Linked DNA regions of Canis lupus familiaris. The protein of the gene in region 1 interacts with the protein of each later gene in a pairwise test. Links are inferred from orthologs where the notes say so. Each region holds a gene or a part of one and is shown in the gene's direction. Other genes may lie near its edges.

Region 1 (4,376 bases):
AAGACCCTATTCTCAAGTAAGATCATATTCACAAGTACAAGGGGTTAGGACTTAAATATCGTTTTTTGGAGGACACCATCCAATACATAACTGACATGCAGTTCCCAACAGAGCATACTGAATGATAAGAACATGGACTTGGAGTCTGGACTGCCTCCATTTGAACACCAATTCTGTTCTTATTGGCTGTGTGATCCTAGGCAAGCCACATAAACTCTGTGAGCTTCAGTTTTCATATCTTTAAAACAAGGATGGGTACAGCATCTATATCATAGAGATAATCTGAGAATTAAATGAGTTAATGAATATAATGCCCAGAACATAGTAACATATGTGTCTTTATTAATAAAATAAGTTCTTTACGTGTTCATCTTCAGGTCTCAGCTTAAATAAACTTTCTCAGTCAGGCATTTCCTGCTATCCCTTCTCTTCAAACATAATTCATAATTTTTTATTCACATGTGTGGGGTTTTTTGTTCCTCTTTGATGTGTCCTTTTTCCCAAGAGGGCAGACTGTGTCTATTTTGTTCACCACTCTATTCCTAGCACCAACAAAATGTTTTACATCTGATGAATGTTAGATTATTATTTGTTGAATGAATAATTATGAAGGTTCAAGCTGGCAATTTAATTATGAATTTGCAGGTGTTTGATTCTCTCTTTCTCCATCTCTCCCCCTCTCCCCTTCTCTCAGAATCTTGGGAAAAGAATCAGTTTTAAATTCCTGATATCCATATTAGGTTTGGTCTCTTTCTCTCTGTACCCTCACAGAAGAATGGAGATGATCTACCCAATGTTTTTCTATGAAAATCTACCCCCCAGGACAGAGAAGACAGAGAAGAGCAACATGGGGCCAAGAGGCAGGAGAGAAAGGGGGAAGTCCAGCAGTAAAAATTACAGTGTATGGAGTCATTAGTTGCATTTCAATTCAAAAACATATTTCAACCAGGTATGAATTCATATGCATTAGTAGGAATTTGTTCTATTTATGATAACCACGGGAGAGGGCGGGGGAGAGGAACACAAGCATAGCTCATGCCAAAGAAACTGCTGGCTCCTCTGACTTCATTGTTTGTACACGTAGAAGTCTGGCTCTGCCAACGGGAAGGTAGACGGGGCCCAGGTTATGCCATTTCTATCTACAGAAACTAACAAAACGCAGACACCTCATCCTCCCGTAACAAAGGGAGCCTGAGAACAGCCAGAGCTCATTACTTGGTCCCCAGATGGGGCTCCCCCTTTGCAACCTGGATCCTAACGTGGGCAGCATTACCCAAGGTGGCAGTGAATAGCTGGTAGAGCCAGGATACAATTATGACCCGATTATTCTAAGGTTCATAGTCACTTCGCCAGAAGGGCCTGACCTGAGGTCATTAGTAACACGCCGTCCAGCAGTTTCTTACAGTGTGGTCCGCTGACTCTTCCACCAGAATCACTGGTAGTCCTCGTTAAAAATTCTGATTCCCTGGCGCTAAGACGGAAGGAATTAAGCAGAGGGGTGGGTGTCAGGAATCCGTACTTTTAAAAAGCACCTCCAACGATCCTGTGGCAGGGCATTACGGACAAGAGGATTCTTATGCACAAGGGCCAGCACGGGCTTTGGGGGTCATCGGAGGTCATCAGCGCAGCTGGGCGCCCTCTCACCCAGCCGGGCCCAGGGCCGAGCCGAGAGAGCCCGCGGCTCAGGTCCGCGGGTCCTCATCCGCCCACGGCCCCGCCCCCTGCTGCCGCCGGCGCCGGGGGCGGGGCTCTCCCTCCAGAACCCCGCCCCGCCGGGTGCGTCCCCGGCGGCCAGGGCCCCGCCCCCGAGGCTGCGGCCAATCAAGCGGCAGGTTGCTGAAGCTCGGGGCCAATGAACAGCGCCGTCCTTTGTTCCTGTGGCTGCAACTGTCGGGCTGCTGCCGGGAGCCGCTGCTTCGGCTGCTGTGGCGGCGGTGCCGCGGGACGAGACGCGGAGTGGAGCGTCCGGCTTCGCGGAGAGCCGCGCCGGTGGGTGGCGGAGGCCGTGCGGGGCTGGGGGTGCCGCGGCCCGCGTGTGTTTGCGCCGGGGCTCCTACGCCGCGGAGCCGGCGGTACCGGGGCGGCGGGGGGGCGGTTCCGGCCCGTGAAGACGCAGGGGAGAGGCCCCCGTGGCCGACGCTTTCTTCAGGGAGTGTGATCCGGCCAGGGCCGGTGGAGCCCCCCCGCGCGTCCTCCCCGCCCCCTGCCCCTGCCGCCCCCCCGCGCCTGGTCCCCTGGATGCGGCGGACGCGCGGGGCGGGGGCGGGGGGCGGACGCGTCCCGAGCCGGGGCCTGACCTCCCTGCTCTGCGCTTTCCACCTCGATGTCCTGGTCTCATTTATGTTTCAGGCTGCTGTGATGGACACCTGCTTCATCTTCCGCCGAAATTACTTAGATAGACGTCAGCTACTTCCTTCCATGTTCAGGAGCCCCCAGTTTTCATCTTTCTTCATAAAAACTTGAAGGGCAAGGTGTTCCCCAAGTTTTTATGATGCTTTTCTTTCTGATAATTCTACCACTCTGACTTCCTTTTCTTTCAAATATTTTATTTATTCATGAAAGAGCGAGAAAGGCAGAGACCCAGGCAGAGGGAGAAGCAGGCTCCACGCAGGGAGCCCGACGCGGGACTCGATCCCGGGACTCTGGGATCACGCCCTGAGCCGAAGGCTGCGCTAAACCGCTGAACCATCCGAGCTTCCCCTGACTTCCTTTCCTGTCTTTGCCTTTAAATGTTCCTGTTTCTAGTTTTTTTTTTTTTTTTTTTTTTTTCTGTGCGTGTGTTTCTAGTTTTTAATCTCATTACAGTAGTAGGCCTTTAACTTGATTAGGGCTATAGGCCCCTCTGAACACATTTGAAGCTGAGGATCCTCTTACTAGATGAATACACATGTGCATTTATACTAAAAATACTGCATAATAAGTTGGGTGAATGGACCTCAGAATAAGAACTCTTTCTCACACTCCTCTTCTTGGGTGATCTTTTCCCCCTCCCTTTTTCAGCACTTCCCATTATGCTGCTGATTCCTCTTACTGTACCTCCAGGGCAGAAGAGCTCCCTCATTGCTTAACTCCAGAAAGCAGCATTCACATCGTGGACATAGTCCTTGTTGTGCACTGTAAAGGGTGTATACACAGCTTTACTGCAGTGCCTCACACCCAGCTGGTCTGATTTTGAACCCATTGTCTGCCCTCCCAACCTGCTTATCTTCCTATGATTCTCACCTTGGTGAGTGGCACTACTATCCGTCTGATTGCCCAAGCTAGAAACCTGGAGGCTTTACAAGAAGAGGCTGAGCATGTCATGACTTGTTTGAAACATTTCAATAACTTCTCTAGAGGGAAGCCCACATTTTTTGACTTGACACAATGATCTTCCATACTCTAGCAGCTCCTTACCTTGCCTGTTGCATCCTTAGCCAAGCCTCGCTTTGCACCCTTTGCTTCAGCCATGCAAACTCCTTATGTTCCTGGCCGGCGCACATGCCCCTCTGTGTCTTTGCTTCTGCTGCTCTAATGCCTAGCGTGTCCTTACATCTATCTCTCTTTCAGATCTCAATACCCGGTTCATCTTAATTAAAACATTCTCTGACTCCATTCCCATTTCTTCACCCTCATAATCCCACCCCATGAAAAATAGTTACTCCTTACTCCCTGCTTTGTACTGCTGTTGTTTTGGGGTCTACTAGCTTTTTTTTTTTTTTTTTTCCATTTTGTCATTCATATTCTATGTGTGTCTGGCTATCTCTGCAGATTCTAAAGTTTGTGAGGACAGAACTTCATCTTAATTCCTCACCACTGTTTTATATGTAACTCCTGTTCAGGGAATTTGAATAGTCACTACTTGTCTTTTTTTTTTTTTTAAGATTTATTTATTTTAGAGAGTGAGTGCATGTGTGTGCAAACAGATAGCGGGAGGGGCAGAAAGAAGGGGGGGGGGAGAGAATCTCTAGCAGACTCCACACTGAGCGCAGAGCCCACATGGGGCTTAGTCCCAGGACATGAGATCATGACCTGGGCCAAAATCAAAAATCAGATGCCCAACTGACTGAGCCTCCCGGGCTCCCTACTACTTGCCCTTTAAATTTATTTACTTGTTATTAAAAATACTTGTTTTATTTTTTTGGTTAAGACTTTTAACAATTTTTCTATGGTGTATAAGAATCTTTCGTTCTGTATAGTCTTGCTTTTCTTAAAATAATATTCCCAAATGGTAAGTTTCCTTAAGCAGAGAATTTGCCTACATTGTTCATTCTCTCTCGGTTCAGTATCTTATAGGACAACGAACAGCATACAGGTTGCCACACATTGCTGAGGAACATTGGTCGCAGTCTATTCTCAACAGACCCCATTGTGGATGTGTCTGAGGAGCTTCCATT
Region 2 (3,064 bases), on another chromosome or scaffold:
GGGAGGTTAAGTGACTTTCTCAAGTCAGAGAGATAATAAGGCATGGAGTTGGAATAAGATCCCAGACTTTTTGACCTAGTTAAGAAAGCAGAGGATTTGCAGTGTTGGAAGATGGGCAATGGCAGTGTCAACTTGCCAAAGTCTACTCTGAGTTGACATGTGACAAATGCTGGGAAGCAGGACATGGGAGGAGACACAGATAAGTTTCCTTGACTTTTAGAAATCCTATGCTCAGGCCCTCTGTCCATTATGTCACATATCAACTGGGGCAGGTAGTAAGATCTAGCTGTTAGGCACATGATGTAAACAACATGTGATCACTAATTTAAAATAAAACTGAACTTGTAAAAACACTCCCAGAACAATTTTTTTTTCCCAGAACAATTTAATCTTTGGGGGGGGGGTGTCTTTTATTTGGACAATTCAGAAGTATTTTAAAATCAACAGTAATTCTCATTCACTTACTCAAGAAACAGTTATTAATCTACCTACTATGTGTCAAGCACTGTTCTAGATGCTGGAGATATAAAAACTCTTCAGTAAAAACTTTGAAAGGGCCTTCTTTGTAACTGATCAAGTAATAATAAGTTGATAGGGGGGAAAGAATGCTAAAAATGTCAGATTTTAAAAGAAAACCATTTAAAGAAATATACAACAATTCTAAAGGCAATTTCTTTATGGGCTTACTTGATAACTTTTTCCTTTCTTTTCACTTAAAAAGCTCCCAATTTTCTCTTGCCCCTTTGTTCTCAGGAAGCAATTTCTAGTTCCAACATGTACTGCAAGGTAAGCTTCCAGTTCCACTGCCAAAGTAGGGCAATCAGAGTGGGGGTTTCAGCACAGCACGCACAAGATAACAAAGTGAGAGTAATACACTGCTAGTCTTTAAAAAATACCAGAAAATAGTACTTGAACCCCCCTCCAAAAGAAAAGCCTAGTGAATGAAATGAAGACTGTTATTTGATCGTAATTATGATCGAGTATGTAAGATTGAAACACTGAAAGTTAATCATACATTTGAATAATACATTTCATATTTATTTCAACCTATGCTGAATCAGCCAATGAAATTTCACTATTTTGAGCATAATGTCAGGAGACAAACTTCTACAAATTTTATACGTAACCTTTTCCATTTTATGTTTTCCATTTATGACAAGTTGAACACATGCTGTGACTTAATATCGTCTCTCCTTCTTCCCCACATTTAATGCCAAGGGATCAAGCTCCATCTTATCCTAAATTTAGCTTTAGGTAACCTCAGACTAAGAGAGGACCTGTTGTTGTTGTTGTTTAACTCCAAGAGGGTTTTTTGTTTTGCTTGTCCGTTTGTTAATTTTAATTTGTATGGAAAAGGAAGAGAAGGACTTCCAAATAACACTATAAACCTGGCCCTCTGGATGCTTGCAAATGCGCTAGCCAGAACAGCAAGTGGCAATGCACCGTGGAAGGCAACTGTGGCTACCGGCACTTCTTGCCAGCCCACGTCTCAGCTCGTGGAAACTGGGTGATAATAGAGGGAACCGTGGGGTGCAACATGGATAAGATCTCGCAGACAGCGCGGGTGGGCGGGTGGGCGGCAGCGAGCCAGGCCTCCCTGCAGAGCGCAAGGGGAAGCTCTGGGACGCGCGAGGAGGTCCCGCGCCTGCGCTCTAAGTGGGGTCGCGCCTGCGCTCTAAGTGGGGTCCCGTCTGCGCAAGCGCAGTGACTGCGGTGGTGCCGTTGAAGGGAACAACTGCCCGAGGAGGATGGCTTCCGGCTTCAAGAAGTCAAACGTGGCCTCTACCAGTCAGAAGAGAAAGGTGGGCCCTAAGCCCGAGCTCACTGAAGATCAGAAGCAAGAAGTTCGCGAAGCATTTGACCTCTTCGATGCCGACGGAAGTGGGACCATTGACGTGAAGGAGCTGAAGGTGGCCATGAGAGCGCTGGGCTTCGAGCCCAGGAAGGAAGAGATGAAGAAGATGATCTCCGAAGTAGACAAGGAGGGCACGGGGAAAATCAGCTTCAATGACTTTTTGGGCGTGATGACCCAGAAGATGGCCGAGAAGGACACCAAAGAAGAGATCCTGAAGGCTTTCAGGCTCTTTGATGACGATGAAACTGGCAAGATCTCTTTCAAAAACCTAAAGCGCGTGGCCGTTGAGTTAGGGGAAAATCTCACTGACGAGGAGCTACAGGAAATGATAGATGAAGCCGATCGGGATGGAGATGGCGAGGTGAACGAGGAAGAGTTTCTTCGGATCATGAAAAAAACCAACTTGTATTAAAGTCGCTTTCCTCCGCAAGCCCGTGGGGAGAAGTCGTCTGGCTTGCCGAGTTCCCTGCTTCCGTTTTGTGAGCTCTTGAGTTAGAGGACTTGCTATCCTCTTACCCCCCAGTTTGTCTAGATACTTCTATTTCCAAATTTCTGGCTCAATTATAGAATTTTAAAGATGCTTTTAATGTGAGTTTTGGTTTTTGATTCTCGAAAGCAGACCTGGAGTGCTTTAGGTTGAATAAAGAGTCCTGTCGCTTCAGTTCCTGGCTCACCTTGTGCCCCGCTTTGGTGGACAACCGTTGAACTGAAGGAAGGTAGCCTGGCTTCTTGGGACAAACAGCCATGCGATTCCCTTGTCACTTCTTTGGTGGCCTTATATTATTTTGCTTCACTTAGTATGCCCTAAATTCAGCATGATGAGGTCGAATTGGCCAGTGGGTCATCCTAGCCATTACTTTTCATTTAACCGAATGTTGGTTTGAAGGAGAACTGTGCAGCCAGTTATCGGGCTCAGGAAAGGTAGTGTTGTAAAGCATAAGCTTGCAGTTGGGTGGTGGTAAATTATGTAGTTTTGACTATTCTCTGACTTCATCACTAGCAGATGATTCTTCAATTGTGCATAAATTATGTGCTATGTATTATCCAGAGCCAGATGTATACCTGGGCTACAGAATAAAATTTAATAATGGCCCAAGCAAGGCATAGTTTCCTTAAGAGATTAAGCTAACTAATGATTTTGAGTAAATATTTACAAATATAAGATCTTAGTTTAGTAAATTGTAAAATAATACATTTTAAGCCACTCAT

What was found.
Region 2: the proteins of POC5 (region 1) and CETN1 interact in binary tests that used the Homo sapiens proteins (3 or more experiments, as listed by UniProt). The link is inferred for Canis lupus familiaris from reciprocal best matches to the Homo sapiens genes POC5 and CETN1.

The regions. Positions count from the first base shown.
Region 1 is NC_049224.1:30,915,562-30,919,937, forward strand, and holds the start of POC5 (centrosomal protein POC5), read left to right. Parts: upstream 1-1,276; 5' UTR 1,277-1,295; intron 1,296-1,364; exon of another isoform or gene 1,365-1,735; intron 1,736-1,833; exon of another isoform or gene 1,834-1,989; intron 1,990-4,376. UniProt on the Homo sapiens protein: Essential for the assembly of the distal half of centrioles, required for centriole elongation. Acts as a negative regulator of centriole elongation.
Region 2 is NC_049228.1:67,485,463-67,488,526, forward strand, and holds CETN1 (centrin-1), read left to right. Parts: upstream 1-1,692; 5' UTR 1,693-1,748; coding exon 1,749-2,267; 3' UTR 2,268-2,442; downstream 2,443-3,064. UniProt on the Homo sapiens protein: Plays a fundamental role in microtubule-organizing center structure and function. Plays a role in sperm cilia formation.